Anolis sagrei: one gene and its partner. The protein of the gene in region 2 interacts with the protein of the main gene of each other region in a biochemical or structural test. Links are inferred from orthologs where the notes say so. Each region holds a gene or a part of one and is shown on either strand. Other genes may lie near its edges. The genes, in order: SF1 and TCERG1.

Region 1 (15,680 bases), on a different chromosome or scaffold from region 2:
AAAGAAGGAGCCTCCACCACACTCCGGGGCAGAGAGTTCCACTGCTGAACAGCTCTCACAGTCAGGAAGTTCTTCCTCGTGTTCAGATGGAATCTCCTCTCTTGTAGTTTGAAGCCATTGTTCCATTGCGTCGTAGTCTCCAAGGAAGCAGAAAACAAGCTTGCTCCCTCCTCCCTGTGGCTTCCTCTCACATATTTATACATGGCTATCATATCTCCTCTCAGCCTTCTCTTTTTCAGGCTAAACATGCCCAGTTCCCTAAGCCGCTCCTCATAGGGCTTGTTCTCCAGACCCTTGATCATTTGAGTCGCCCTCCTCTGGACACATTCCAGCTTGTCAATATCTCTCTTGAATTGTGATGCATAGAATTGGACACAATATTCCAGATGTGGTCTAACCAAAGCAGAATAGAGGGGTAGCATGACTTCCTTAGATCTAGACACTATGCTCCTATTGATGCAGGCCAAAATCCCATTGGCTTTTTTTGCCGCCACATCACATTGTTGGCTCATGTTTAACTTGTTGTCCACGAGGACTCCAAGATCTTTTTCACACGTACTGCTCTCGAGCCAGGCATTGTCCCCCATTTTGTATCTTTGCATTTCATTTTTCCTGCCAAAGTGGAGTATCTTGCATTTGTCCCTGTTGAACTTCATTTTGTTAGTTTTGGCCAATCATTTCTCTAATCTGTCATGATCCCTTTGAATCCTGCTCCTGTCCTCTGGACTATTGGCTCTCCCTCCCAATTTGGTGTCGTTTGCAAACTTGATGATCCTGCCTTCTCGCCCTTCATCTAAGTCATTAATAAAGATGTTGAACAGGACCGGGCCCAGGACGGAGCCCTGCGGCACTCCCTCAGGGATATATTTTCCTTTATGGACCTTCCTGTGAGTAATATGAACTATGGACACTGGGGGAAGGTAGTTGGGTTTACTCTGTGTTATGACTTCTTTATTTTCATATTTTCTCCTGTATTTCTATATTTCCCCTCATGTTTTCTGACCTTGCCCTGAACCTTTTGCCCCCTTCCCCTCTCCTTGGGGGAAATCTACAAGGAAGCTGCCCTGCCTCTGGAAAAGCAATCAGCAATCATGAAAAGACCCTTCTCTTTGTCTTGTGGGGTTCCTCAGGGTTCAATACTGTCGCCCATATGATTAAAATGGAGAGATCATCCGGAGTTTCGGGGTGCGGTGTCATCTGTACGCAGATGATGTCCAGCTCTGTCACTCCTTCCCACCTGCTACTAAGGAGGCTGTCGAGGTCCTGAACCGGTGCTTGGCCGCTGTAACGGTCTGGATGAGGGCGAACAAATTGAAACTGAATCCAGACAAGACAGAGGTCCTCCTGGTCAGTTGCAAGGCCAAACAGGGCATAGGGTTACAGCCTGTGTTGGACGGGGTCGCACTCCCCCTGAAGACGCAGGTTCGCAGCCTGGGAGTGACCCTGGACTCATCGCTGAGCCTGGAACCTCAGGTTTCGGCGGTGACCAGGGGAGCATTTGCACAGCTAAAGCTTGTGCGCCAGCTGCGCCCGTACCTTGGGAAGTCTGACTTGGCCACGGTAGTCCACACTCTCATCACATCCCGCCTAGACTACTGCAACGCTCTCTACGTGGGGCTGCCCTTGAAGACGGCCCGGAAGCTTCAATTAGTCCAACGTGCGGCAGCCATGATTCTAACAGGAGCGGAGCGCAGGGAGCACACAACCCCCGTTGCGCCAGCTCCATTGGCTGCCGATTTGCTACCGGGCTCAATTCAAGGTGTTGGCATTGGCCTATAAAGCCCTAAACCAGTGGTTCTCAACCTGGGGGTCGTTTGGCCATTTCGGAGGGGTCATGAGGCCACCTCCTTTGGCCCCGCCCCCCAAAGTTTTGGCCCCCGTCCCTCAAGGCTTTGGACAAGCCCAGGCCTCATGCAAAGCCTTCCTTGCCTGCCTCGCAATCTCAAAAATAATTTTATGGTTGGGGGTCACCACAACCCAAGGAACCATATTTAGGGGTCACAGTGTTAGAAAGGTTGAGAACCACTGCCCTAAACGGTTCCGGCCCAAGATACCTTTCCGACCGCATCTCTGCCTATGAACCCACCAGGACTTTGAGATCTTCCGGGGAGGCCCTGCTCTCGATCCCGCCGGCTTCTCAAGCACGGTTGGCGGGGACGAGAGATAGGGCCTTCTCGGTGGTGGCTCCTCGGCTGTGGAACGCCCTTCCTACAGACATTAAGTTGGCGCCATCTCTCATGGCATTCCGAAGAAAGTTGAAGACCTGGTTGTTTGTGCAGGCGTTTGAGTAATTGAGTGCAATCTGGTAATGGAACATAGGAATGGAACAATGGACGACGAACCTGGACTACGCTTGGATGAGGAGAAGATTGGGTACGGTTGTTTTTTGTAATAATTGTGCATTGTAATGGCTTATTGGTAATTTATGGATAATGTGTTAAGTCAATTGTTATATGTTGTATGGAACCACTGCTGTTCTACTGTTTTTACTGTTTGTGAACTGCTGTGAGTCACCTTCGGGCTTGAGATACAGCGGTATATAAGCAAAGTAAATAATAATAATAATAATAATAATAATATCTTTGGACAATCTTTGCATGGACAATAGTAAAGGAAATCCTTTTGATTTGTTGGGCCATCTTAAGGGTTCCTGTCCGGCAGACTTTTTAATCATATAACAGTGGGGGGAATATGACCTTAGGAAAGCCCTCTTTTCCTCCAAGCCGTTTTTCTTTCAAATCTTTCCACTAAGGACATTCACAAAAGTTTCCCCTTTGTGCCCTATCTGATTGTAAGAGGAAAACCTTGATTAAGTCATCATAACTTATCACTGACCCATCTCAGGACAATAAAGTTAGTTTCCTTAGAAGGCTGATTCTGGACTCAAGAAGCCCCAGGACATTGGAATTCCATAATCCACTCAAGAAAGCATTGTTTCTTCTTGTCCCGCCTCCCTTCCTCCTGATTTGCTAGAGTGCCGAGGCGGTAGAAGCTTTCTGATTGGCTCATACGCAGCTAATCACCTACCAACAAACGATTCCCCCAGGCAGTAAGAAGTCATGCCTTGAAAACTGCTAGGCCATTAAATGCTAATCAAGGTGGCCAATTGAAACATTCACACCTACGTCCAACAGACAAGTTCTTTCACCCACCCTGGACATCATTCCACAGAGATATAAACCCCATCTTCCTCGTTTCCAACAAACCTCACAACCTCATAACCATAATACAACAATATGATTTATTTATTTGTCGTGTCAGAACAACCAGTCTAACAGAACAAAGCAAACAAACAGAAAAATACACAACTTGTGAGTTTGGTAGCTGGTTAAATGTCCTTTGACCAGTTTCTGGCCCCTTGGAGTGCCTCTGGTGTTGCCGCAAGAAGGTCCTCCATTGTGCATGTGGCAGGGCTCAGGTTGCATTGCAGCAGGTGGTCAGTGGTTTGCTCCTCTCCACACTCGCATGTCGTGGATTCGACTTTGTAGCCCCATTTCTGAAGGTTGGCTCTGCATCTCATGGTGCCAGAGCGCAGTCTGTTCAGCGCCTTCCAGGTCGCCCAGTCTTCTGTGTGCCCAGGAGGGAGTCTCTCATTTGGTATCAGCAATTGGTTGAGGTGCTGGGTTTGAGCCTGCCACTTTTGGACTCTTGCTTGCTGAGGTGTTCCAGCGAGTGTCTCTGTAGATCTTAGAAAACTATGTCTAGATTTAAGTCGTTGACGTGCTGGCTGATACCCAAATAGGGGATGAGCTGGAGATGTCTCTGCCTTGGTCCTTTCACTATTGGCTGCCACTTCCCGGCGGATGTCAGGTGGTGCAATACTGGCTAAGCAGTGTAATTTCTCCAGTGGTGTGGGGCGCAGACACCCCGTGATAATGCGGCATGTCTCATTAAGAGCCACATCCACTGTTTTAGCGTGGTGAGATGTGCTCCACACTGGGCATGCATACTCAGCAGCAGAGTAGCATAGCGCAAGGGCAGATGTCTTCACTGTGTCTGGTTGTGAACCCCAGGTTGTGCCAGTCAGCTTTCGTATGATATTGTTTCTAGCACCCACCTTTTGCTTGATGTTCAGGCAGTGCTTCTTGTAGGTCAGAGCACGGTCCAGAGTGACTCCTCCCATGTATTTGGGTGCGCTGCAATGCTCCAGTGGGATTCCTTCCCAGGTAATAATCCTCAGAGCTCGGGATGCTTGTCTGTTCTTGAGATGAAGGGCACATGTCTGTGTTTTAGATGGATTAGGGATCAGCTGGTTTTCCCTGAAATAGGCAGTAAGAGCACCTAGAGCTTCGGAGAGCTTCTGTTCTACCATCTCAAAGCTGTGTTGAGGCCTCGGCCTTTGTAAGCCGCATCGAGTCATGCGGGAGATGCTAGCGGGGTACAAATAAAGTTAATAATAATAATAATAATAATAATAATTTTCCTCGTTTCCAACAAACCTCACAACCTCATAACCATAATACAACAATATGATATAATAATGTAATAATAATATTATATTATAATAGAAATATTATATAATATATTATTATATGATATAATATTGCATACTAATATAATAATTGTTAATATTATATAATTTATCATAATTCTATATACAATTATTATAATATAGTATAATAATTTAAAAATAATAATATTACATATATATATAGTATAATAATATCATACTATAGTAATTATAACCATAATGTAATAATATAATATAGTATAATAATGTTAATATAATACATATTATTATATAGTGATATAATATAATATTGTATAATACTATAATAATTATTAATATTATATAATTTATTATAATTCTATATATAATTATTATAATATAGTATAATAATTTAAAAATAATAATGTCACATATATAAAGTATAATAATATCATACTATAGTAATTATAGCCATAATGTAATAATATAATATAGTATAATAATGTTAATATAATAATATAATATATATTATTATATGATATAATATAATATTGTATAATAATGTAATAATTGTTAATATTATATACTTTATTATAATTCTATAATTATTATAATATAGTATAATAATGTTAATATAATAATATAATATATATTATTATATAGTGATATAATATAATATTGTATAATAATATAATAATTGTTAATATTTTATAATTTATTATAACTCTATATATAATTATTATATGTATATTGATTTAATAATAATAATGTCATATATATAAAGTATAATATCATACTATAGTAATTATAACCATAATGTAATAATATAATATAGTATAATAATGTTAATATAATAATATAATATATATATTATATAGTGATGTAATATCATATTGTATAATAATATAATTGTTAATATTATATAATTTATTATAATTCTATATATAATTATTATAATATAGTATAATAATTTAAAAATAATAATGTCACATATATAAAGTGTAATAATATCATACTATAGTAATTATAATCATAATGTAATAATATAATAATATAGTATATTAATGTAGTAATGAGGATGCCTGCAGTACTATTTTTTTCCCTTTTTGGCCCAAGCGGGATTCGAACTCGCGACCTCCTGATTCATTTGCAACACCAGGCTTAGGCCCTAACTCCCGCCAGCCTCGTGGATGGAAGAAAACGTGGGCCAATCAAATGCCTCCTTATTTCCCTCTGCGGCGCTACTTTATTTCACCGTCCAATGGTAGCCCGAGCTTCCACTGACGTCACTTATCTCTATGGGACTCGTGGCAGAAAAGTCCCTCAGGAAGCGGGCCATGTGGCAGCGAGGAGGGAAAGTCCTGAAAGCAATTGAGCTTCACCAATCACAGCGTTAGATTCCCCTAGATCCCGCCTTCCAAAATGGACGCGGTATGCTCCCGCCTACTAAGGCCTAAGTATCAAATCAGCGCGCGGGACACCTTGAAAGACAGAGGACGTGAAGGCTGTGTCTGGCTAATGACGGTTGATGGACGCGGCTGTTGACCAATTGGCGTCCATTAGGCGCTAGCTAGAGGAGGGAACCAATCACAGCGGTGCAGCCAATCAAAGCGGTAGATATTTGACAGACGCGGCTCTTGCCCAATCGGCGGAGTGAAGGACTGCTTTGGCGGCCATTAGACGCCGTGATAGATAGAGGAGGAACCAATCACAGCGGTGCAGCCAATCAGAGCGGTGCAGATTTGATAAACGCGGCTCTTGCCCAATCGGCGGAGAGGAGGACTGCTTTGGCGGCCATTAGACGCTGTGATAGATAGAGGCGGGACCAATCACAGCGGTGCAGCCAATCACAGCGGTGTACATTTGATAGACGTGGCTCTTGCCCAATCGGTTGAGTGAAGGACTGCTTTGGCGGCCATTAGACGCCTTGATAGATAGAGGAGGAACCAATCACAGCGGTAGAGATTTGATAGACGTGGCTCTTGACCAATCGGTGGAGTGAAGGATGTCTTTGGCGGCTATTAGACGCTGTGTTAGATAGAGGCGGAACCAATCACAGCAATGCAGCCAATCAAAGCGGTAGAGATTTGATAGACGCGGCTGTTGCCCAATCGGCGGAGTGGAGGACGGCTTTGGCGGCCATTAGACGCCGTGATAGATAGAGGCGGAACCAATCACAGCGGTGCAGCCAATCAAAGCGGTAGAGATTTGATAGACGCGGCTGTTGCCCAATCGGCGGAGTGGAGGCGTGCTTTGGCGGCCATTAGGCGGGCAGGGCTACCTTGAGAGATAGAGGAGGAAACCAATCAGAGTGGTGGAGGTTTGATAGACGCGGCTCTTGCCCAATCGGAGTGAAGGACTGTATTGGCGGCCATTAGACGCCTTGTTAGTTAGAGGAGGAACCAATCACAGCCGTGCAGCCAATGACAGCGGAAGAGATTTGATAGACGTGGCTCTTGCCCAATCGGCGGAGTGAAGAACGGCTCAGGCGGCCATTAGGCGCGCAAAAGTACCTTGATAGATAGAGGAGGGAACCAATCTCAGCGGTGCAGCCAATCACAGCGGTGCGAACTTGATAGACGCGGCTCTTGCCCAATCGGTGGAGTGAAGGATGTCTTTGGCGACCATTAGGCGCACAAAAGTACCTTGATAGATAGAGGAGGGACCCAATCTCAGCGGTGCAGCCAATCAAAGCTTTAGAGATTTGACAGACTCGGTTCTTGCCCAATCGGCGCAGTGACGGACGGCTGCCTCAGCCAATCGGCGCGCGCGGTCTTTGTGAGGCGAGCCTTTGGCGTGGAAGCTTCGCGAACGGGCCTGGGACGCCATTAAGCGCCGTCGATGGCGACCGGAGCGAACGCGACGCCTCTGGGGAAGCTCCATCCGCCGCCGCCGCCGCCTCCTCCGCCGGGGAAAGCCGGCTACCCGCTCCCTCCGCCGGGCCTCGTGATGCAGGGGCCTCCTCCTCCTCCGCCGCCCGCGCAGGCCCAGCCCCAGCCGGCCATCCCCAGCCTCATGGCGGCCGCCGCGGCCTTCCCTTTCGCCGCGCTCCCGCCGCCGCCTCCTCCGCCGCCTCCACCACCTCCTCCTCCGCCTCAGCAACCCCAGCCTCCGCCTCAGCAACCTCCACCTCCTCCGCCGCCTCAGCAAGGGCAGCAGGCGCCTCAGCAGGCCCAGTACGCCCAGTACCGCTTCCCCTCGCCTCCCCCGCCGCCTCAGGCCGCGCTAGGCCTCGAGCAGCAGCAACAGCAGGCTCAGGCCGTGGCGGCCCAGCAGCACCTCCACCTCCACCTCCAGCAGCAGCAGGACGAGGGCGGCCAGGCCGGGAGCCAAGGCAAGTCCGCCTATCTCGCGCTCAGCCCAAGTATGTACCGTGGCTGCTTTGCCTTCCTCTGGGTAGGCCGGGCAAGGGACACCCCGCTTGGGTTGGACTCCTCGCAGCCTCAGGCCCCTTCCTTAAGCAACTGAGGGGAGAAAAGAAGGGGCCTGAGGACAATTGGCACACAAGAATTTATTTATTTACTTCATTTACTTTGTTTGTATACAGCTCTTCTCAGCCCTTCGGCGACTCAGAGCGGTTAACAACAAACAACAGCAAAAATTCAAGGCTAGCATCATACAAACCATTTAAAAACAATTAACACAATGGGTTGTTGTAGGCTTTTTCGGGCTGTATGGCCATGGTCTAGAGCAGTGGTTCTCAACCTGGGGTCCCCAGATGTTTTTGGCCTACAACTCCCAGAAATCCCAGTCAGTTTACCAGCTGTTAGGATTTCTGGGAGTTGTAGGCCAAAAACATCTCAGGACCCCAGGTTGAGAACCACTGGTCTAGAGGCATTCTCTCCTGACGTTTCGCCTGCATCTCTGTATATATATATATATATATATATATATATATATACATATCTATATCTAGAATGACTGGGGTGGGGCAAAGGACTCTTCTCTGCTGGAGCTAGGTGTGAATGTATTGTTATTATTATTATTATTATTTGATGCACTTATTGACCGCCATTCTCAGCCCATAAGGGCGACTCATGGCGGTGTACAGTACACATAAAAGACAATTACAAAAAGCCAGTTTCGACAACATATAGACTATACAACAACTACAAACTACACTAAAAATCCGCTTCGTCTCTTAGTGGAATCATAGCCAGTCTCATTCCAGTTCCGTTCCAGTTCTCATAACCGTATTATTAGCACTTAATTAAATGCCCTCTCGAAAAGCCATGTCTTAAGGCTTTTTCGAAAGGACATGAGGGAAGGCGCCTGTCTGATGTGTGCAGGGAGAGTGTTCCACAGCCGGGGGGCCACCACCGAGAAGGCCCTCTCCCTCGTCCCCGCCAGCCGTGCCTGTGAGGCAGGCGGGACCGAGAGAAGGGCCTCCCCAGACGATCTCAAGGTCCTCGTGGGCTCGTAGGCTTTCATGGCCTCCACCTCCAGCAGCAGCAGCAGGACGAGGGCGGGCAGGCCGGGAGCCAAGGCAAGTCCGCCTATCTCGCGCTCAGCCCAAGTATGTACCGTGGCTGCTTTGCCTTCCTCTGGGTAGGCCGGGCAGGGGACACCCCGCTTGGGTTGGATTCCTAACAGCCTCAGGACCCTTCCTTAAGCAGGTGAGGGGGAAAGGAAGGGGCCTCAGGCCAGTGGGCCCACAATAATAATAATAATAATAATAATAATAATAATAATAACTTTTTTATCGTGTCATCAGCAGCCATACCATTGTGTTACAATTCTAACGGAACAAAACAAACACACAGATTAAAAAGAAAAAAAACACACACAGATTTTGCAAATTTGGTATTCGGTTAAATGTCCTTTGACCAGTATCTGGCCCCTTGGAGTGCCTCTGGGGTTGCCGCAAGAAGGTCCTCCATTGTGCATGTGGCAGGGCTCAGGGTGCATTGCAGCAGGTGGTCAGTGGTTTGCTCTTCTCCACACTCACATGCCGAGGATTCCACCCTGTAGTCCCATTTCTTGAGGTTGGCTCTGCATCTCGTGGTGCCAGAGCGCAGTCTGTTCAGCACCTTCCAAGTCGCCCCGTCTTCTGTGTGCCCAGGGGGGAGTCTCTCATCTGGTATCACCCACGGATTGAGGTGCTGGGTTTGAGCCTTTCACTTTTGGACTCTTGCTTGCTGAGGTGTTCCAGCCAGTGTCTCTGTAGATCTTAGAAAACTATTTCTAGATTTAAGTTCTTGACGTGCTGGCTGATACCCAAACAGAGGATGAGCTGGAGATGCCCCTGCCTTGGTCCTTTCACTATTGGCTGCTACTTCCCGGCGGATGTCAGGTTAATGTAATACAAAATAATAATAACAGAATAAAACAATGGAAATGTAATAATAGAGTAAAATAATGGAAATGTAATAATAACAATAAATAGAGTAAAATAATAGTAAGTAAGCTTTATTATGGTTGATGACCAGATCATAATGTAATAAAATAATAGAGTAAAATAATGTAAATGCAATAATACTAATAATAATAATAGAGTAAAATAATAAATCTAATAATAGTAGAGTAAAAGAATAAATGTAATAACAATAATAAATAGAGAAAAATAATAAATGTAATAAAATAATAATAGAGTAAAATAATGTGAATGTAATAATAGAGTAAGATAATAAATGTAATAAAAATAATACTAATAACAGAGTAAAATAATAAATAACTTTGATTCTAGTATAAGCCGAGGGGAGCTTTTTCAGCCTAAAAAAGGGACTGCAAAACTAGGCTTATACTCGAGTATATACAGTTAGTTGTCTGGGTTTTTGAAGTTTGGTAACAGTATTATGTGGATGACACCTGACGTTATTCCTTTTTTCCTCCCTTGGTTTTGTGAAATAGTTTTCCAGATCACATGTGGTAGCTTGTTAATGGAGAATTGGGGTAGAATGTGTTTGAGTGAGTATAAAAAGAGTTTATGATGGGAAAACTAATTTTGACGAGACACAAACATAGCCTGAATCTTGCCTGCATGGGACTGGTATTATAATTAGGTATAATGTGTTTGCAGATTATCCTAATAAAAAAAGAAAGAGGAGCAGATGGAACCAGGACACCATGGACCAGAAGACTGTCATCCCTGGCATGCCCACAGTCATCCCTCCTGGGCTTACCCGTGAACAAGAGAGAGCTTATATAGGTAAATACTTGTTCTGTTCTTTCATGTTTTCGTGCCAGTACCGATCCAGAAAGTGTTTTTAGCTGTGGTGTGCATTCAAGATTTTCAGTGTTTGCTTTCAAAGGCTTGGGTTATGGTGGTCTTGTTTTCATTACCATATGTATATATAATATAGACTCTTTTCTCAGTGAATAATTGTGTTCCATCCCACCCCTCTGTCGCGTTTGATTGAAACAGTGTCCTCCACAGGCATATTAGAAACTGAAGTCCTTAGAAAGGGTGGGAGATTTAACATTTTCTGATATTTAGTCAATTGGCCATGGAAACTAATCATCCAGATCTCTTATAAGCATCACAGACTTCTTGCTAGTGGAGAACACTAAGAGTCCTCTTTGAAGCTATATTGTTTGGAAGCAAGCACCTCTTTCACACTGGAATATTGTAATCTAACCATGGTTCCCTTCTCACCTTTTGTACCTTACTATGCTAATTATGCAAAGTTAACGTTGAGCCTTCAAGATAGTGAAGATTGTTTGTACCACTTAGCAGAAGGGAACGTTTCTTAACCTCTGGGTTGCGTGTTTATTTTGTGGGGTTTTTTAATATCATGAAATACTTGGGGATTGGGTTGTATTAGCATGGTGGGAGCGATATTCATTTGCTGGGAAAGGAATTTGGGAATACCGCTTGATTCTGAGAAGATTGAGAAGTGTTACATACTATTATCCTGCATTTGGGAATGAACAGAAATTGTATTTGCAATAGAATGCAAAGTGTGTATGTGTATTTGTGTGAAATCCTCCTAGGACGCTCTGATGTTTCATTATCAGCTGCAAATGTCCCTTATGGTCTGTTCATCTCACTGATGTTACAAAAGAAGACAATTACTCCTTTCTTGTGCATAAATCACTTGAGAAGTTTGATATGTAACCTTCAACTGTTCAGAGTTAATACTGAGAGCTACTTTTCTGCTCTAAAGCCTCATGAACTGGCTTACTTTCAAAATTAACAAAATAGGTTTTTTTACAGTGCAGAATAGTCTGCCTCAGTGTCAGGCAAAGTTTCAGTATAGGAAAACTGGAAGGCACATTGGAAAAGCTGATCTTGTTATGTTATGCTCTGCACTTCATTCCACAAGAGGTAGTTTTCCTTACTGTCAACATAGGGTTGGTTTTGTTCAGCTTTTACCTGGCCATGAGTCTTAAGCCTTTGCAGAAAACAGCTATTTTGATATATTTCATTGATAGAAGCTGGGTAATGGAGCTAATGGGGCACCAAAATAATTGGCTTGAAAAAAGTATATTGAAGAAACAGTTCCTAATGTCGAATCATTGGAATTATGAATACATTTCTGTAATTATTTAAATAAATCTGATTATACCTGTTGATCAGTTTTATCAGAACCATGTCTACAAATCACTGTATATACTCGAATATAAGCCTAGTTTTTCAGCCCCTTTTTAAGGCTGAAAAAGTTCCCCGCTGCTTATACTTGAGCCAAGGTTATTTATTATTAGTATTATTTTTATTACGTTTATTTACTGTATTTATTATTACATTTACATTATATTATTATATTATTATTATTTTTATTACATTTACTTACTTGATTTATTATTACATTTACATTATTTTACTCTTATTATTTTTATTACATTTATTTACTCTATTTATTCTTACGTTTACATTATTTTACCCTATTATTTTATTACATTTATTTACTTTATTATTATAGTTACATTATTTTTACATTTATTATTTCCCCTATTTATTATTATTATTGTTATTATTACATTTCCATTATTTTTACATGTATTATTTTACTCTATTATTACATTTACATTATTTTACTCTATTATTTTATTACATTTATTTACTCTATTATTACATTTACATTATAATACATTTCCCCTATTTATTATTGCTATTATTACATTTCCATTATTTTACTCTATTATTATTTTATTATTTTACTCTCTTTATCATTACTGGAAGAATAGGTAAGCACATTTACATAGAAGGAAGTTAAAATGGTGGTTTAATCGGAGTTGGACAGTCTTATCTTAAATTACAGTTTTAAGTAAATATTTTATTTATTTATTCATTCATTTATTTATTTAGAACTTTTATATACCGGTCTTCTTGACTTCCAGAGAGGGACTCAGGCCGGTTTACAACAAAGATTCATAAACAATAGTTTAAAACATCACATCCCAATATTCCAAAACTTTTAGCCTACTGATGCCTCAATTAATGTAATTTTATTGGTATCTATTTTTATTTTGAAGTTGACTCGCAGCTGCTGCATTTCCCACCCTCTGCTTATAGTCGAGTCAATACGTTTTCCCAGTTTTTTGTGGTAAAATTAGGTACCCCGGCTTATCTTCGGATTGGCTTGTATTCAAGTATATACGGTAATAGATTTGGGTCAGAATTCTCATTCTGTGCAAAGATACGAGTGCTTCACTTGCTGTACTAACTGGTGTTGCAACCCACAGCTGAACGGGATAAATAGCGAAAGGGTAGAGGTATGACACACAGAGTACCAAAGGACTCCATAGCAAAAGTGCATGCATATCGTAATTGGGATTTGTGAAAGAGGGACTACCAAATACATCTGAAAATAGTTATGAACATTAAGATAAACGATCTTAATCCCAGCAAATAATTGATCTGCTGAAATATTTCAAAATACAGAATAGTATTGGAAAGAATAGAGTCAATCCCGACCATACAACATTGTCCAATTCTCTAGAACGTCAATGAATAATCACGTGTTTTGAGATTTTGAACCAATGTGGATGTGCGTTGATGCAATGCCTGAAAACGATCAATGGTGTGAATATTTGTTTAGAAATCCATTAGTTCGATCAGTCTGTTTGGTGTAAAACGTTAAAACACATTAATGAAATGTATTGTCTGTTTGAGATATTTAGAATACTCTGTCCCTGAGAAATACTGTTTTTCAGTTTTGTAAGATTCTGTCTTGTCAAACTGAGAAACTAATGCTTTTTTTTTGTATTGTTAACATTTACAGTCCCACTTCTAAAATCTTGAATGCAGCCTGTGAAATGGGAAATAAATCAGTTTAAAGCAAGTAAAGAAAACAGTGCAGGATGCTCAGGCTATATCTTCTGATCAAAACATGCTATATGAATCCCTGAGCTTTATTTGAGGTTTCAAAGTGTTCCTCAAGCTCCCTAAATTCCAACTTGGAGGCCCACTTTCTGGTTTTCTTTGACCATACATTGGGCATTCTGCCTCTTCCCTGGTCCCTCAAAGAAGCTGGAAAAGTGCAGTGAAGGCGCTGTGGTTTTGTACTGTCTTTTTTTTCAAAAGACAAGGCCCAGTTTCATGTCTCAGCCTTGCTACACTTCATTCACCGCTGCCTGGCCTCCCTCACAGCACTGTCGTTCTGTGAGGGTTTCATTAAAAGGCCTCTCAGATGCCTAAATATAATACTATGTGGACTTGTGTGATCCAGTCGGGTTAGGTTTTTGATCAAGCAGAAGTGATACTGGTTTCTTGTACTTCTTGTTTATTTATTTATTATTGATGTACTGTATTTGTATACCACCTTTCTCAGCCAGTCGGTGACTCAAGGCGGTTTCCAACAAATCAGTATACATAAAAACGTAATATAAATTAAAACAGTATAAAACACCACAAGAGCAATAAAACAACATCATTAGCATCTCATTATTATCAAGCTTAGTCCAGTTCCATTGTCAAGTCATTCGATTTCCTATATTAGCTACTCTGCATTTGTAAACGCTTGCTCGAACAGCCATGTTTTTACTTGCCTCTGAAACGTTAAGAGTGAGGGAGCAGATCTGATCTCCTGTATCAACAACCATATCGAATTTGGTTGGCATACCCGATCTCATTAGCCAAGGAGCCACCACTGAGAAGGCCCTGTCTCTCGTCCCCGCCAAACGTACTCGTGATGAAGGCGGGACCGAGAGCAGGGCCTCCCCAGACGATCTTAAAGTCCTCAGTGAAATGGAGAGAACTTTCCTCCTTTTCTTGCATAAGGAAGGCATTTCTCTTCATTGAACTTTGAATCACACAGAACTGTGAATGGTCTTTTATGTGGAATAAGTGACCTCTTCCCCAAGTTAATGGAGAGAAGTAGGGTACTGGAGATGCATGATACTATCCAAATGTATTCTCCCCTGTGAACCATCAAGGGCGTTAAGATCTTCCGGAGAGGCTCTGCTCTTGGTCCCACCACCTTCGCAAGCACGCTTGGTGGGAACGCGAGACAGGGCTTTCTCTGTGGTGGCCCCTCGGCTATGGAACTCTTTCCCAAACGAGATTAGATCTGCCCCCTCCCTCTTGTCCTTCAGGAGGCTAGTGAAATCCTGGTTATGGAATGAAGCATTCCCAGAATAATGGCTGAGACTATTTACAGACCAAAGTGAGTGACCACATATGCGGACTGAGTTGAACATCGTTTTACCTTGGCAGTTTGGTATATATGTATTTTATCTATATGTATTTTAATCTTGTATTTTTGTATGATGTTTTAACTTGTATTAGTAGCATTGAATCCTTGCTGTAAGCCGGTCTGTGTCCCTCTACGGAGGTGAGAAGATCGGGATATAAAAGTTTTAAATAAATAAATAAAAATAAATACTTGCCCAAGTGAATAGATTTATCAGGACCCAGCTTCCTTCCTATATTTTATGCATGGTTAATCTTTCATGAATATGGAAGTGGGTGTACCTTTGCTCCAAGTGATTTGGGTTGTCACCCGCAAACCATATTCTCCAGAGTGGCCTGCCAGATGTCCGTGGGACTTGGAACAAAAGCCGCCTCTGGGCAAGGGGCTTAAGGCCTGCATCCCAAACCAGCTGCTGTTCTGTGCCCAATGCTCTCCGCTAGCTAATTATCTTGAACTCATTGGATGAACTAGAGTCAAAATGTTATATTTTGAGTTTAAAAACCAACGGCTAATGCTTGACATCTGTTAGTACTGCATTTGGGAATACTGGGTGTGTATGCATAATTGAATAGAAGACATAAAGGTTTTGCATAATGATATATTTTAGCAAAGGGTCACATTATATACGTAGAAGTGTGCTCTGTTAGTTAACAAAGAATGCGAACTCCTGCTAAACT
Region 2 (15,680 bases):
TAACGGTACCTATTACCTTGTATATGAAATGCAAGACAACCTAATAATTATATTTGCTTTTCAGTGTCGTTTACTTTGATCCTTCTCCAAACAAACGTTAGTTTCCAGTCATATTTTATTGCAGAATTCAAAAACAACTAGACCTACAAGGTATTTACTGTAACATTTACTACTCTCAAGAATTGTAAACTCTGTTGAGCTTCAACTACCTGCCACAATTAAAATAGTAGTATTTTTTAATACAACAATTATGATTTCTTTTCTTTCCTTCTTTGCAAAATACAAGGCTGACACTTACTCAAAACAAACATGCAGTCTCCAAAAGTTTTCTGGCTCTGGGTTGTTGTAGGTTTTTCCGGCTGTATGGCCATGTTCTAGAAGCATTCTCTCCTGACGTTTCACCTGCATCTGTGGCAGACATCCTCAGAGGATGACTGCCACCCATGCAGGCGAAACATCAGGAGAGAATGCTTCTAGAACATGGCCATACAGCCTGAAAAACCTACAACAACCTAGTGATTCCGGCCATGAAAGACAATACATTTTCTGGCTCTGTTTGGATGTTATGGGAAAACCTTGATTCTGTACCAACATGGGGCATTTTTCCACCCTGATATACAATGGAATTGTTGTTTGGGTTACAAAGTACCTCAGATTAAATCAGTCAGTAAAGATTTTCTTATCTGCCTAAATTGCAACAAAATAAGTTTTTCTCTTCCTGTTGGCAAAAGAAAAACTTGACTAAGGCCCCTTCCATACAACTGAATAAAATCCTACATTATCAGCTCTGAACTGGGATATATAGCAGTGTGGACTCTGACATTCCACTTCAATGCAGATATTGTGGGTCATTTTGCCTTGATATTCTGGATTATATGACTGTGTGGAAGGGCATGATAAGAAGTGCTCACCACAGATACAAAGTAATGATCTCAAGAGGGAAAATCAGGAAAATCCTAAAGGCACTCAAGACTCATGCTTGATAAGTGAGTTACTTTTCAATAAGGTGTTGTTTTTTTCCTCCTGAAACAGCAGAATATATGGGTTTCAAAGTATTTTTTAACTCAAATGTATTTTTTCACTTGGGCCCTCCACATGGTAGTCAACACAGAAAACAACATTCACATAATAGATCAGATCTTGAGAACAGTTTATAAATGTGACCCTCTCTTTTTTCCACATATGCACAGAATGGATCAGATGAAGAGAAATAGGGAGGGGATGGAGAATAGCATCAACTGACATGTGTCAAAAGGTCTTACGGTGAATGTTGTAAGTGACACACTAGCATGTTTCCCCAGATAAAATGTATTTCCCATCCCTTCCTATGTCCTACAAAATTTACTCACTGGAAACTGTTTGTGAAACAGATGTTGCAGTAGTAGTAGTAGAGGTTGTAGAGGACTGACTATTTGAGGAGGCAGAGGGAGATACTGCTGATGCAGGGCTACTGGTAGTAGTTGTGGAAGCACCTACAGCTTGAGCCTGTGCCTGGGCTTGTGCAGCCAGTATTGGTGTCAGTTCAGACTGCTGAATAACTTTCACTCCATCAGGTTTGGTCCATGCTGATTCACGTGTTCGTGCATTATAGTAATAAACCTTGAAAGAGAGGACATAATTTTAGGCTACACAATTGACCTAATATTTTAATTCATGTTTGAACATCACAATACCAAATTAATCTATCTAATGAATAAACATAGGCAGATTATTCAACCACCTGAACCAACCAGGTTACTAAATTCTATTAACATAGCATGAATTGTAAAAATGACAGAATAACTGTAATTATTACTAAGAATAAATCTGACCTTTCCATCTGGAGTTTTATTTTCTACCCATATCTCTTCTGTAGGTGGCATTGCTGGAGTTCCAGGTGCAGAGACTGGTGGCATTCCTGGAGGAAACATCATGCCAGGAGGAGGTGGCATATTTCCCATAGGAGGAGGCATGAAAGGGGGTCTCTATAAAAATAAACAAAAGTAAGTAAAAGATTACATTATGTATTCCACTCCACAATACCTCCATAATTAAGAGGAAACAGCATATATTGTAAAATAACTGTAAAAACTGAAGTTAATATAAAATGAACAGAAATGGTCCTTAGAGAAAGAAGTATGGGGTGCCACAAATCATTTTGGCACACACATCTAGGTATTTTTTTTAAGTCTGTATTGACTGATTTTAAGATGCATCGGTTTTATGTGCTCTTTTAACTGATGTGCTGTAAATTTGCATTGGTCCCTGGGCAGTATAGCTGTAAGCTAAGCATTTTGAGCAGCTCTCAGAAGTGATCTGTAGTAAAAGAAAAGATATTAGCAATTTGGGGGGGGGGGGGGGGGGAGGGGCAGGGGAAGATGTTAATTCAAGCTGATTATTTTAAGAATACTTGAGTTCAGGACAAAGTCAAAGGAAGATCCCATAGAAAATTTTGTTGTAATCTCTCATATTAACCTTCCCATTTGGCATACATAAAAGTATTACATTCATGATTATTGCAAAAAATCTATCACATGTAACAAAAAATCAATCTACTAATGGTAGAGTTCAAAGGATAGAAAATCTCCATGTATATATTCCAATGATAGGAAGTTACAATATTTTTATTCTGCTTATACATTAGGTTATCTGCAAATTTAATAAACCTCCCTAAATAAAACACAAAATGAAGTCAAGTAAAAGCAAAATAAACTTAACACAACACAACCTAAAACATCTGAAAGAGTAAAAATTACATACCCCAGCATAAAAAAAGCACAAGACGTCAGACAATACATTACACAGCAAAATCCTAAATTGTATTAAAACATTTAACAAAAAGATCAGGGAAAGCCTTTGCCTACTCTCAACATCACCCTGCCATGTATGAGGACAATATTGATGGCATTACACAATGATGCAATTTTAAAAAACTCCTTAACGTTTACTATGAAAAAAATAACCTCATCCCAATAGGATTATTGTAAATCTATCACCCCTTTACCACTGGCAGAGATCTTTAATATCTGAGATTTATAAGCATTTTAAATGTCAATTGAATCAAAAAAACTGTGTTACAATAAAACTTTCAGGAAGGAAGTAAAAGATTAACTTCCTGCAAAATGATCTCTCAAAGACTTCAAAAAAAGTAATGGGAAAAGACATTGCAGAAAACCCCCAAACAGTTGAAAAAACAGAAGCAGTGCAGCTTTCTGTCAGAAAAATGAAGCATGGGTGGGCAGATTATAAAAGTAAATGTCTTTTCCCAGAGGTGAATACATCTAGTCCCCATCCTTGATTTTGAGACATGAAAAACTACAAGAAATACCCATTTAAGTTAAAATTTAAAGATAAATAGAATGAAGGAAATATGGTGGAAGGCAACTCATGTCAAAGCCAATCAGATAGTAAATAGATAACCAAGGAAAGCACACATGAAACATAAACAGCAAAGCTGTGGAAAGAGGTTCTTTAACAATGTTAAAGAAAAAAATGACAATTGGAAATGGGAAGACAGAGAAAATTCCACATTAGGCCTTGGACAAAACAAGAATTATAAGTTGCTTACCTGTAACTGTAGTTTCCTTAGTAGTCACTGCGAATCATACATTCCACATTAGGCCTTGGACAAAACAAGAAAGGGGATTACACTTCATGCATATTCTTACCTGGAGATGTGGAGGTCCCATGGGTGGAGGAATTCCTCCTGGAGGTGGCATTGGAGGCATATTTGGATCAAATGGGGGACGTCCAAAGGGTGGCCTTGGTGGTGGTGGTGGACCTCGCATCATACCAAAAGGTGGAGGTGGACGCATAAGAGGCGGTGGCCCTCTCATGACAGTGTTTGGTGGAGGAGCTGGACCGCGAAATCTCAGTGCTTGCTGTTGAGCCATCCTGCAAGCAAAGTAAAAAAGAAACAGTTTTATGTTCAAGCTTTCTGCATACCAAAAGGGTGCTGGTGCGATAAGTGAATCAGAGCTTTGTGACATAAGTTCAAACAATGCTAGGGTTCAAACTTCTTGGGAGGCTATGTCCGCAATATTTAAATTGTCCGCAATTCCTTAGAATGGAAAGGCACTGTGAAAGCTTCCCTCCCATAGGCCTAACTATAAAGCACCTCCAACATGAGATGTGATACCCACACTGCTCCTATATACCCATGGCATCTAAATCATTTTCTACTGATAGCAAACAAGAAGGCAACCAAACGTGTCATAATGTGAATGGGTGCCCACAACTCACTTGAACAAAGCCATCAACATCCTTTCATTTGTACCCTAAAGTCATATTAGAGTACACTGACCCCACTGTACCACCCAGCCCTCTAAAGAAGTAACTTAGAATATATATATATATATAAAAAGTTCACCTTTGTAACCAACAAACGCTCTTCTGATGCTCTCAGGAAAACAATTTTGCCCACCATTTAGTGCCAGTGCAATACCAATGTTGGCATGATGACTCAAAATTGAAAAAAACAAAGGTTATAAGGTGGCGAACGACAACAAATATATAATTCAACACTCATTATTTAAACACCTTCTCATTTAGAAACTGCATACCATTATGGTATATCAAAATTCTACTGCAATATATATGAACTGTAAACATATAACACCTTGTGGGGTCTGTACCAACTGAAATGTTTCTATCTACACCTGATCACTGTATCAACATATCTACATATGTAAATATTTCAATTATTTTTTTTCAAAATATAAACAAGGTTGGGTTCCTTTCTACATATTGCTCTTATCTATTCTAAATAGCTATATGTGCATAGTTAATAGAGTATATACTCATTTTATTATTTGAGAACAATCATGTGCCTTAAAAAAAGTGCTCTATGACATGTCAAAAGGATCTTCTTTTGTCATGTCTGTAGGACATTATGTACAAGGCTACTGTAAATCACAAAACTGATAGCCAATAAGTAGACTCAGAACTGATTTTGGTTTGTTTTCTTCTCACTTTTTATGATTCCAATGACACATTCAGATGGTAGATGGGAAATGTAATTTTTCAATAGCCCCCCCCCCCCCCCCCCCCGTCCTTGTTAAGTCTTATTTGAAGATTCTCTGCTTAGAGATTTATATTCCCGCCACATTTGCAAAAAAAGGTGTTCATTGGACCTCCTTTAAATGGACGCATTTATAAGTGAAAAGAAGAAGTCTTGGCTGCTTTAACAAAAAAGGACATTGGTTCTAAATGGAAGAACCGGCTGCTTGAAAGTGTCAGCCAAGTGAAGCAACATATTAGTTTGAACATCACAAGGCTTTATTTATTTATTTTGGCAATCTGTCCAACAGATATTGTTGTGCAATTCAAGTTTCACTTGACCTTTAATTTTACCATTTTCTATTAGAAGACGACCAATGAAGCAAATGTATTGAGATCATTTGGTTCTTTCAATTCAGTTCATGCTTGCTTTTCAGGCACAAACAACTTGTCAAAAGGTACACAGTGTTCTGGTGTGGGACAGAGCTTCCTCATCCCCCCCAAGTGCCCACAAGTCATTAAATATTTGTCACTCCATAAGGTCTGGTACATGAAAAAGGAGAAGCTGGCAGCAATTTAGGGATTATTACTACAAGACTTGTAAATCCTAGCTGCTGTAATCACTTCTGTTTTGGACAACAGAAAGATGTGGGACTACAGTACATGGCCTATTCCATTTGCATAGCCTAGTCTTGTTTACTGGTCATAAAGCATATTTTAAAGGTTTTTTTTAAAAAAAAATCTGAGAGCCTGATGATACAAGATGCATTTTCTTGTCAACTGTAGACAAAGATGCAGTGCTTTTCACTACCTTCACCATCAGACTCTGGGTAATTCCTTTTTCATTAGAATGACTTACAGGATACATCAACACAACATGACCACAAGTGATCTGTGGAAACAGATAATTTGCAATAGAAGTGGATAAACTAACTCAATTGGGCAGTGGGCTCTCTAGGATTGGACATCGATATTCATTTAAAATTGATTCAATTCAAATAAACAAGGAAGGATCAAATATTTGTCCTTGATGTCTTTTTCTGGTTTAGTGGGAGGGAAAACAGGAAAGAGAAGCTCCATGTTGCTAGACAGCACAAAAAGTCATCCTCACTGCAAGCAGCATGCTGTTCATTCATGAGAAGATAGAGTTGTCAAAGATCCCTGACCTGTCATGTCATGTGAAAACATCAATTGCCTTGTATAGCCTTGCACGTGTAACACTATACATAGTATTGTGGTATCTTGCAAGTGCACAGTAATAAGTAGAAGAGCTCACTTTCCATCCAACTTTGCTATAAAGTAGCATTAAGCAGCATGGAAGATTATTTTAGTAAAAGTTCTTGTCAGGGTCAATCACTATATTTCCATGACTAGAAATGGGCAAAACTAACACATCACATTGTATGCATATCAATTATGCATAGCTCATCTGCATTCATACACTGCTGTACATTAACACAGCTTTCTACCACACATGTAGAAACACAGTAGAACACGGGGATATCCTAACATCACACATGGTGTTTGGCATTTCCAACATGGAAAGGTCTCCTTGTGCAATTGTTATGTACAAACATTTTTTAGCTGGACTGTTTATTTCAATCAATGAAATAAGTTGTGAAGTGAACTGTTTTCTACATTCGGGGAGATGCTATGTACAAGCATCCCTGAATGACTTTTTAATTTTTAATGCACTTACTTTAATTGAAACCAATATTTACACTCAGTGAATTTTTAAGGGTATCTTGTCACACATGGTTTAATACAGCAGTCTTCCTGCCTAGCTCTTCCAACTATGCCTGAACCATAAGTGCCATCACAACAGCCAGGAAGATAAGGGCTGGGAATGACAGCAGCTGTAGTCCAACACATCTGGAAGGATTCAGATGGGGGGCGGGGGAGGTTGCCTCTCAGGATTAGTTTGTTGGTTCAGAGCATTTTATGAGCATGAAAATTGCTCTTAGCCCACAAACCCTCTCAAGGGATGCACCTGATGCTTCATCACACTAGAGAAAAAAATCCACTTAAAATCTGGTTTCTGCCTCCTGCAGAATTCTGGGGTTTGTGGTTTAGTGAGGCTGTTAAATGCTCCTCCCTAAACTACAAACCCCAGAATTCTGCAGGAGGCAGAAACTGGATTTTAAGTGGATTTTTTGGCAAAAAGTATAATAGCTGGGACCCAATGCTGTGACAGTGCAGTGAGAGATGCAGGTGCAGCAAAGTTGTGGCAAGATAGCTCACCAGAAAGGGGGAGGGGGACCAACAGCCAAGTATAGTGCTTAAGGCTATCTGGATATAGTATGCAAACATATTCAAATACGTTATGTCTTGGCTTCTTGAATTCTGACCCGCGATGTGCAACCAGCAGTGGGTCCCAGCTATCATACTTTTGCCAATTTTTTTCTCTAGCGTGATAAAATAGTAGCTAAAAAAAAATCTATACTATCGAATTACTGCAGCTCGACACTAGTTTAACTGCCCTGGCTCAATACTTTGGAATCATGAAAGTTGTACTCTTACAAGAGCTTGGGCCTCCTCTGCTAAAGAGTGCTGGTACCTCACCAAACTACAACTCTCAGGACTCAATAGCATCGAGCCATGGCAGTTAAAATTCTCTCAAACTAGAGAATAAATCCACTTTAAATCCGGTTTCTGCCATCTGCAGAGTTCTGGAGTGTGTAGTTTAGTGAGGCCGTTAAGGGCTTCTCCCTAAAGCACAAACCTCAGGATTCTGCAAGAGGCAGCAACCGGATTTCAAGGAGATTCATTCTCTAGGGAGGTGAGGTGCAAGGTAGTGTCGAACTCCATGAATTCTACAGTCGACGTGGTTCCAGACCGGGCCTTTGAACTGGAGGACAGCGGGAGGACTTCCTCCTTCCCGCTTTCCTAACGGAAGCCCCTCGCCGCCAGCCCCCACCCCGGCCTGAGACGTCACCGCGTACGAGAGAGTAGCCCCCCCCCCACGCTCTCGTGGGGGGGGGGAACACTCCACGGGAAAAAAAAATAAACACTGTGGCTATCAAGGGTAGCCACCGCGCGAGGATAAAGGCCTGAGAACGGGCAGGAGGCGCCAGTTAACGGGCGAGGCTCACCGGGCCAGAGCTGGCAATGAAGGCGAGAGGGGAGACTGACTAAACGGCCACTTCCGCCTCGAGCGCTAAGGGAAGAGGGCGCGCGCGAGACAAGGGGGACCCCGCGCGCAGAAGGAGAAAGAGAAAGAGAGAGAGAGAGCGCTGAGGTCACAGCCTGAGGCCGCTCGCGCTCCCTCTCTTGGCGCGCGCGCGCTGGCCCGCCCGCCCGCTCGCTCACAAAAGGCCTCGTGCTCCTGGCAGCGCGTGCTCCTCCTCCACCTCCCCGCCCCTCCTCCGCCTTACCTAATCTCATTATTGTAGCGCTCCGCTGCGGCAGCGTCGCCTTCTCCGCCGCCAGGCCCTCCGCCGCCGCCACTGCCTCCTCCTCCTCCACCACCACCTCCTCTTTCCGCCATCACCAGCCGACACTGCCGCCGCACACGCCCACCCTCGCTACGGTTCCCTCCTCGCCACTGGCCGCCTCTCCCGTCAATCACGGGACGTCAGGGGCTCGCCTCTCCCTGATTGGCTGCCTCCGCCGCCGATTTTGAATGAGGGGAGGAAAGCGAGTCGGGACTGGAGGGTTTTGGCTCAAAGGCTATCAAGAAGCGCCCTCTCGCGGCCTCCTTCAGCGGCACGTCACGTGAACTGTGACCCGGAAATGGTGTTCAAAGACAAGCGTGCGCCAGGCGATAGCTAGAGGCAGGAAAGTGGTAGAGGCGCGACACGTTGTGTGAATCCTACCTTTCGGAGTCTATTGTTAGATAAATCATTTTGAAACGAGGGCTGCCCGCAGAATGAAATGTATGGAAAAAGGGAGGATTTTGACCACGGCTCTGGTTGGAGAAGTCCAGGCCCGCTCTGACTCGAAACTCGCTTCATGTGAAGCCATAATACTTGGCACGCATACCCTTAATCGTCCAACTTAACATTATTTGAGGGATTTAAACTAAAAAGCTCATATCTAAGGAGGGGTACATTCAAAGACATGTAGTGTTAGATCTGTTTCAGTATAAACATATAGAAAGGTATCCTGTAGCTGCAGCACCTTTGAGACTGAAAAGGGGCATTTCTCCCCTGAGCTTTTGTAGTCTCCAGACCTTGTTGGCATCTGATGAAGTGGGACTGGGATCCTCTAAAGATTATGCTAGAAATTTTCTCAGGTAATCTCAGAGGTGCTGCAGGTTCCGTTTTATCCTTATGAAAGGAAAGACTTCCCATTTGGGAGGATGGACTGCACAACATAGGTGTGTGTTCTCCTAAACTTTAGGGGGATTAGTACTTCTAAGCCACCTTTTGCACTTGGTGTGTCAAAATTTGCCAAAAACCTGAGCATAACTTGGGTGGGGTGTCACTTCGAGAGAGAAAAACATAATTTTGCAGTATTTATAGTTTAAATAAGAAAAATGTATATTCCATGCTGAGTTATGGAGTGAACAATGGTCAAACATGCAGATGTTAAATTTGTAGAGCCTTTTACAAATTTAAGGATGGAATTAGATTGGCTCTTATAAGGTGTACTTCTCTGAATGTGTGTGTCATCAAAAATAGCCATGTGTGTCAGTGCTGACACACATGTCATAGGTTCACCATCACGGTTCTAAGCCAATGGTTCCCAACTTGTGATCTGTGGACCACCAGTGGTCCACGGTCTTACCGTTACTACACCATTGCATTGAGAGCAACTGGTCTCGCAAAACCCTCTTATAGTGCTGAGGTAACTGGGATATCAGGAGGGCTGACTACTCACAAAAGATTACTACTACCTCATCAGCTCTAGATTATTAAATATGGTTTTCTGTGGGTGAGCAGATGATATATGTTCTTTATCAGAAACTAGAGCTGATGTGTTCTCTCCAATACAATTTTCTGAAACAGCACCCCAAATAACCAAACCAAATCTAAAGTTGACCAAAATCTGATTCATAACCCTTTTGGTACTAATGTTGGAGCGTGGTCCCTGGTCAAAAAAAAAAAAAAGTTGGGAACCACCATTCTAAGCTAACAGCACAGGTGCCTGGAAAGGGTTTTTTTTATGGTTGCACTACAGCTCTCAGAACTCAGTTCAGCAACTGGCTGTAGCATTTTAACTGCCCATTATAGATCTAGGGAAGTTACTTTAAAGGAAAGATAAATATGGTGCCATGCCAAAGCCATGCCTGGCTCAGCAGTGCAAGGTGATGGCTTCAGCATGTTGTTCTATTCTTTTGAATTTTAAAGGATCTGATCCTGGAACATTTTCTTTATTTTTCACATTGAACATTTTATATAGCCATCATAAAAGAACTCTGGTTACTTAAATTTTGAATTGTACAAATGTTCTCTTGGAGATATTAAATTCACACATGAAAAAAGCCCTCATGGACACAGATCTATAACATTTGCAGACAAGGCACCAGGTCTGCCAAGATAAGTAGGTGGCTGAGAACCCTTTTCTAGCTTGTTTCTCTGTGATTTTTCAATGGGCCCTTCCACACAACCCTGTATCCCAGAATATCAAGGCAGAAAAATCTCACATTATCTGAGTATACACTCAGATAACCCAGCTCAAAGCAGATATTGTGGGATTTTCTGCCTTTATATTCTGGGATATAGAATATTCTGTGTGGAAGGGCCCCTAGGAATTGATTTTGTGTCCCTAGAACAAGGACAAGTCCTTTTATTTTCAGATAAGATGCTCAGTTCTTTCACTGGTTTATTTCACTCCATTTAATGACCCCTCTGTTCGTTAATAAATAATACTGTTGTTATGTCATAACATCACCCCTACATTTCCCTACAAAGAGTCAACAAACCAGGGAACAGAAAAAAAAACATTATGGCTTACACTGTGGGGTTGTGTGCTCTGGAAAAAAAAAACAAGACTGAAGTTTGCAAAAGTATGGTTGCTTACAAAATTAATGGACAGAATAGTAGCTGTTAATTTTGTCTCATGTTTTGATTTCTACATAAAACTTGGAAAATTGAGTTATTGTTGGAGGTGAGGGGCAAAAACAGCTGTCACCTGCAAATAGCCATGACAAGTGTGTTAACCAATTCCATTAATACTGTGATGAGCATGTTACTGAGAATCCAGCTGACAGATATAGATATTGGCAGTGTTCTGTAAGAGGTTTCATAGACCAGCAGTTAATTAAAATGAATGCTGTTAATTCTAATTTAATGATGCTGCTTCTGCAAATGTTTTACTAAATACAGAAATATTTGTGTTAGAAAGATACACAGCCATAACTGTTTTGTATCTAGATGACCTCAGTGAAGACCAAGGGCTCGGAAACCTGTGTTTACAATAAGGGCTTTGGCTTTCTAACAAACATCAATCCTACTTTTTCGTTCTTTGGGATCCGATGAACAAGAGTTAAGAGGAAAGAATATCACTTTAGCCTTACATTACAAATGTGACTGGAGGAAGAAGATAAGAAACTGCCTGACAAATGGAAGTGAGATCTGTTTAAGCTGTTCTTAAGTCTGCTTGCTGTTGCTGGATATTAAGGGAGAGCAGTAGTTACAAAGAAAAATCCCGCAGCTAGCATGTTGTTGGTGCGTATGTACTTCATGTTACTTAATAAAAAACATTTTACATGCTTTGAGTTCTTATCATTGATACATCAACTATATTCCAGAGTCTGCTGTAATGAAGATTACAACTATACTCACTTAAGCCCCCCTAAATAATTTGCATGTGTTACTTTAACTCCTCTTTTCAGCCACTAGGAGACCCCCTTCAACAACTTTAGAAGATGGAAAGAACTCTTACATAGGGTTGCTGTGAGTTTTCCCAGGTTCTTACAACAATATTATCAAGGAATCATGCAAGAAAGTCCAATATTTGTTTCTGCCTCTCCTCTGGGGGAATGCTTTGAAAACTGAACTGAAAGAACATCCAGGAAATCTCACGTTTTCCTACCATACATCAGTGCTAAGTTCTTCCATTGGATAGCTTTAATACAAATTTTGGCCGGCCTGATGATTTAAGCAGATTTAGTTTGGTCTTGCTACTCATCTACCACTTAGGAAGAGTCTAACTGGTATTTGGGTGAAGACGAAGGTCCCATCCCTTGATCTCTTTTCCTCTCATCTACCATTGGTTAGTTCATAGGTTTTTTTAATTACTGCACAGAAAAAGACTAGATTGCAGTCAAGACTGCTCAGTTCTATTTTAGGTGATATCAAACACAGTAATCCACTGATAAATTTTGAAGTGCAGCCTGTGAGGGTTTTCCCTTTAATGGATAAAGGGTTGGTTTTCCTAGGTGAAATATGTGGTTATCCTTTTACAGATTTACCATTTAACTCACTGCTTCCACCAGATATGAGACTTGCCACCAACACAGAGACTTCCACAAACTGCTTGTAAGTTGTGACTATCAAGAATGATGGCTTTTACTTGTTCCCACCTCAGCCATCAATTTAGGGACCTCTTCCTGTTCCACATCTGTGGCCTCCAACTGTGAGGAGATTCTAGATACTCTCAAGATATCCGTGTGAGATATTATGCAACTTCTGGACACTAGGCATCACTCCTCTTTATTCATTGCTGCCAATCGTTTTGTTTTAATCCAAGCTTAATATATTGCATTCCCGGAGGCCAAAAGTGCATAAAGACAAAAGCTATACTTTATTAAGAGAAGTTGAAAACAACAAAGCAGATTAATTATTTAAAACACTTAAAACATTTCACATTCTCACTCTCCACTTCTAGCTAATTAAGACTCTTAAACACATTAATTCCTAACTATGACTGACTGACTCTATTAATTGTGATTCCCACTTCATTCACACCTTTCTGCCTCCTACCTAACTACCCTGACAACTCTAAATGACTATATCAACTGTTGTCCACCAACCTTATTGAAATCCCCCCACTATTCACTGCCAATATTCAATTCTCTCACCCCTCCCTACAGCTCCTTACTTCATTACAAAATGCATGCACAGCCAAATTACCTTAATATATTTAATTAAATAACATTCTGCATCAAAAGTCCATAACATCACACAGACCAGTGCCAGGAGAGCATAACAATACCTTCACAGGGAACTAAAAATGCAGGCAGCTGTTACATATGTTTTCATCTCCATTAGGAGCAAGTACTGTGTAAACCTGTTAGGTCTAACCAATTCAAGACCAAGTTACCTTTCCAGTACAAAGGATTAGAACAACCTTTGTGGTTGATAAACTCAATTTTCTTGCTTCTTCAACTAACTTCCTTGTAGATACTAGCACAGAAAGTGTAACATTGTAATATATATGATTACTTATTGTAAAATGATCTCTTTTTTGAAAATAAGTGTATTTTCCTATCTAAATTATGGTTTCCCTTGTTTGATTCAGATAAGTAATATACCTGACTCAGAACAGTCTCTAGGCAGGCAGTATAACATTTGTAAGATGATATTATATTTGAGATAGGCAAGATAGGACCATATGAAGAATATACAGGGAAATCATGCAAGGGGAGCAAGGGAAAGGAAAAACACAGTTAAATATATATTGAATTAGTGAATTGTTTCCCAAAATTGTCCATTTATGAAATCAATAAAACTATGAATCTATATCTCACTTCATATTCTCCCTTTCTTCAAATACACACAATCTGCTCCTTTGATGTTACTAATGAATGTGCTCTTTTTAACTTACTCTGATGGCTGATAATTGTGCTCTAGCTTCTGGGCAAAAACTTATCAGCAATGTTGGTATGTAGAATGGCCATTGGCATCAAATATTCATAGAGTCACAGATGGGAATCTACAAAGAGCACAGAGACAGAGCATATTCCCAACTATTCTATGGTGATCATGTCAAAATGTCAAGAGGAACTGGTGATTTATTGCTACAGCTACATGAACTGGTGTAGTTTTTAGAAGAATCTGAAGGAATTGTCTTTGCCAGCTGGTGTTCCTGGTGTAAGTAGGTCAGGATATGCCAAAAATAAATATATAAATAGAAGCAGTTACTTCAGAATAATAAGAGGTGGTGACTTCATCTTGATTATCTCTCTCCATTCGAGGGTGGTGTAGATCTCCAAGCAACAGGAATGAAGCTCTATCCGCCACCATATTCCCCCTACCAAATATGCTAGCAAAAGGCATAAATTTTATAAGAAATTAGCTGGAACATCCAAATTTTAAATACAATCAAATTAAAACCTGGGAGTACTCATTCTTCTTATCTTAGGCATAGACTGAGGATGATGGTCCTCCAAGTGTAGTGTCTTGGTGGTGGGTCCATAGGTGGCTGTGGAGCCCTATTCTTGACCCGCGTGTTCTCCCACAGTGCGGACATTGGTTTCCAGATGGAAGGTGGTCCCAGTCAGGTTTGGTTTGATGCGCCTTCCTCTTGGCATGTTTCTCCCTTTCACCCTCCATTCATGCCTCTTTGAATTCTACAGCACTTCTGGCCACAGCTGATCTCCAGTTAGAGTGCTCAAGGGCCAGGGCTTCCCAGTTCTGTGCCACAGTTTTTAAGGTCGGCTTTAAGCCAATCTTTAAATCTCTTTTCCTCTCCACCAACATTATGTTTCCTATTCTTGAGTTGGGACTATAGTAACTTCTTTGGGTGATCAGGGATTCGGACAACATGGCCAGTTGATGGCATATAGCAATAAGTGTTGCCCCAGCCCCTTTCCTGGGGCAGTTCACAACAGGCACGTATACACACATACACCGTTCTGAAAAATACTGACATAGCTCACTGTGCCATCTGCAAGTTGACAAACTGGGCAAGCCATAAGGATTGGGTTTGCTATGGAAAAACAATGGCAATATCTCTCAGATGGCACATTAGTTAGCATATTGCCTTGAATCTTATTTTGGAAGATAGACAAGCTAATTATTAAGTATTTATAATATGTGATGAAAGTGTGAGTAGGGTGTGTGTTGTATTAATGATTAATCATTGAGAGGAAACTCTAAACAAATCAAGGATAGTGTTGTCAAGAGTTCTTTAATTGGAGTCAGTTCTAGTTTTTTTTCCTTTTTTTTAAAATGAAAGAAGACAATACTGGGATTTTATGGAGCATCCCCACTCATCTACTCTATAAATTCAACTAGAGAGCATTGGAGAAACTATTTCCATTCCATTCCCCCATGCTTCTCCATCTGTCTGCTTTTCCCCAGACCAGTTTAAAAGGTGCTTTGTCACCTTTTATATTAAATATGAGAGAAATCTGTTACCATCCTAGTTGATGGATCACTGTCCCGTTACTGTTGGAGGGAGGATTGGGATTCCCTTGAGCCCACCACTCAGCTGATCAGCCAGGAACCAGGTAAATGGTTGTGCTCATACCCTGCGCACCCATGAGCTTTGTACTTCAAATACATCAAGTCCTATGAGGGTCATGATTTGGATTGGGCTTCTTTACTTGTTTGCTATTTAATAATCATCCAGGTAATTATTAATGGTTCCAAAGTAATTAAGCTTATTCAGATAACAGATTAAGAGGTTTAGAATGAACTCCTGTCCTCGTCATTCCCACTGAGGCTATCACATTATTACCAAGTTCAGATAAAGGTGAATTTTGAACAGTTGGTACACAAAACCTTGAGATATTTTCATAATCGTAACCCAAGCCCACTTTTTTACTTATGAGTTTTGCAAGAAGATCAATGTTATCATGCCTATATTATCCT

The links.
Region 1: the proteins of TCERG1 (region 2) and SF1 form a complex in vitro, tested with the Homo sapiens proteins (3 studies listed by BioGRID). The link is inferred for Anolis sagrei from reciprocal best matches to the Homo sapiens genes TCERG1 and SF1.

Annotation. Positions count from the first base shown.
Region 1 is NC_090032.1:19,634,658-19,650,337, reverse strand, and holds the start of SF1 (splicing factor 1), read left to right. Parts: upstream 1-7,201; 5' UTR 7,202-7,270; coding exon 7,271-7,763; intron 7,764-8,868; exon of another isoform or gene 8,869-8,945; intron 8,946-10,448; coding exon 10,449-10,577; intron 10,578-15,680. UniProt on the Homo sapiens protein: Necessary for the ATP-dependent first step of spliceosome assembly. Binds to the intron branch point sequence (BPS) 5'-UACUAAC-3' of the pre-mRNA. May act as transcription repressor.
Region 2 is NC_090022.1:97,866,360-97,882,039, reverse strand, and holds the start of TCERG1 (transcription elongation regulator 1), read right to left. Parts: upstream 8,479-15,680; 5' UTR 8,465-8,478; coding exon 8,352-8,464; intron 8,144-8,351; exon of another isoform or gene 8,070-8,143; intron 4,441-8,069; exon of another isoform or gene 4,349-4,440; intron 3,874-4,348; coding exon 3,648-3,873; intron 1,965-3,647; coding exon 1,812-1,964; intron 1,600-1,811; coding exon 1,350-1,599; intron 1-1,349. UniProt on the Homo sapiens protein: Transcription factor that binds RNA polymerase II and inhibits the elongation of transcripts from target promoters. Regulates transcription elongation in a TATA box-dependent manner.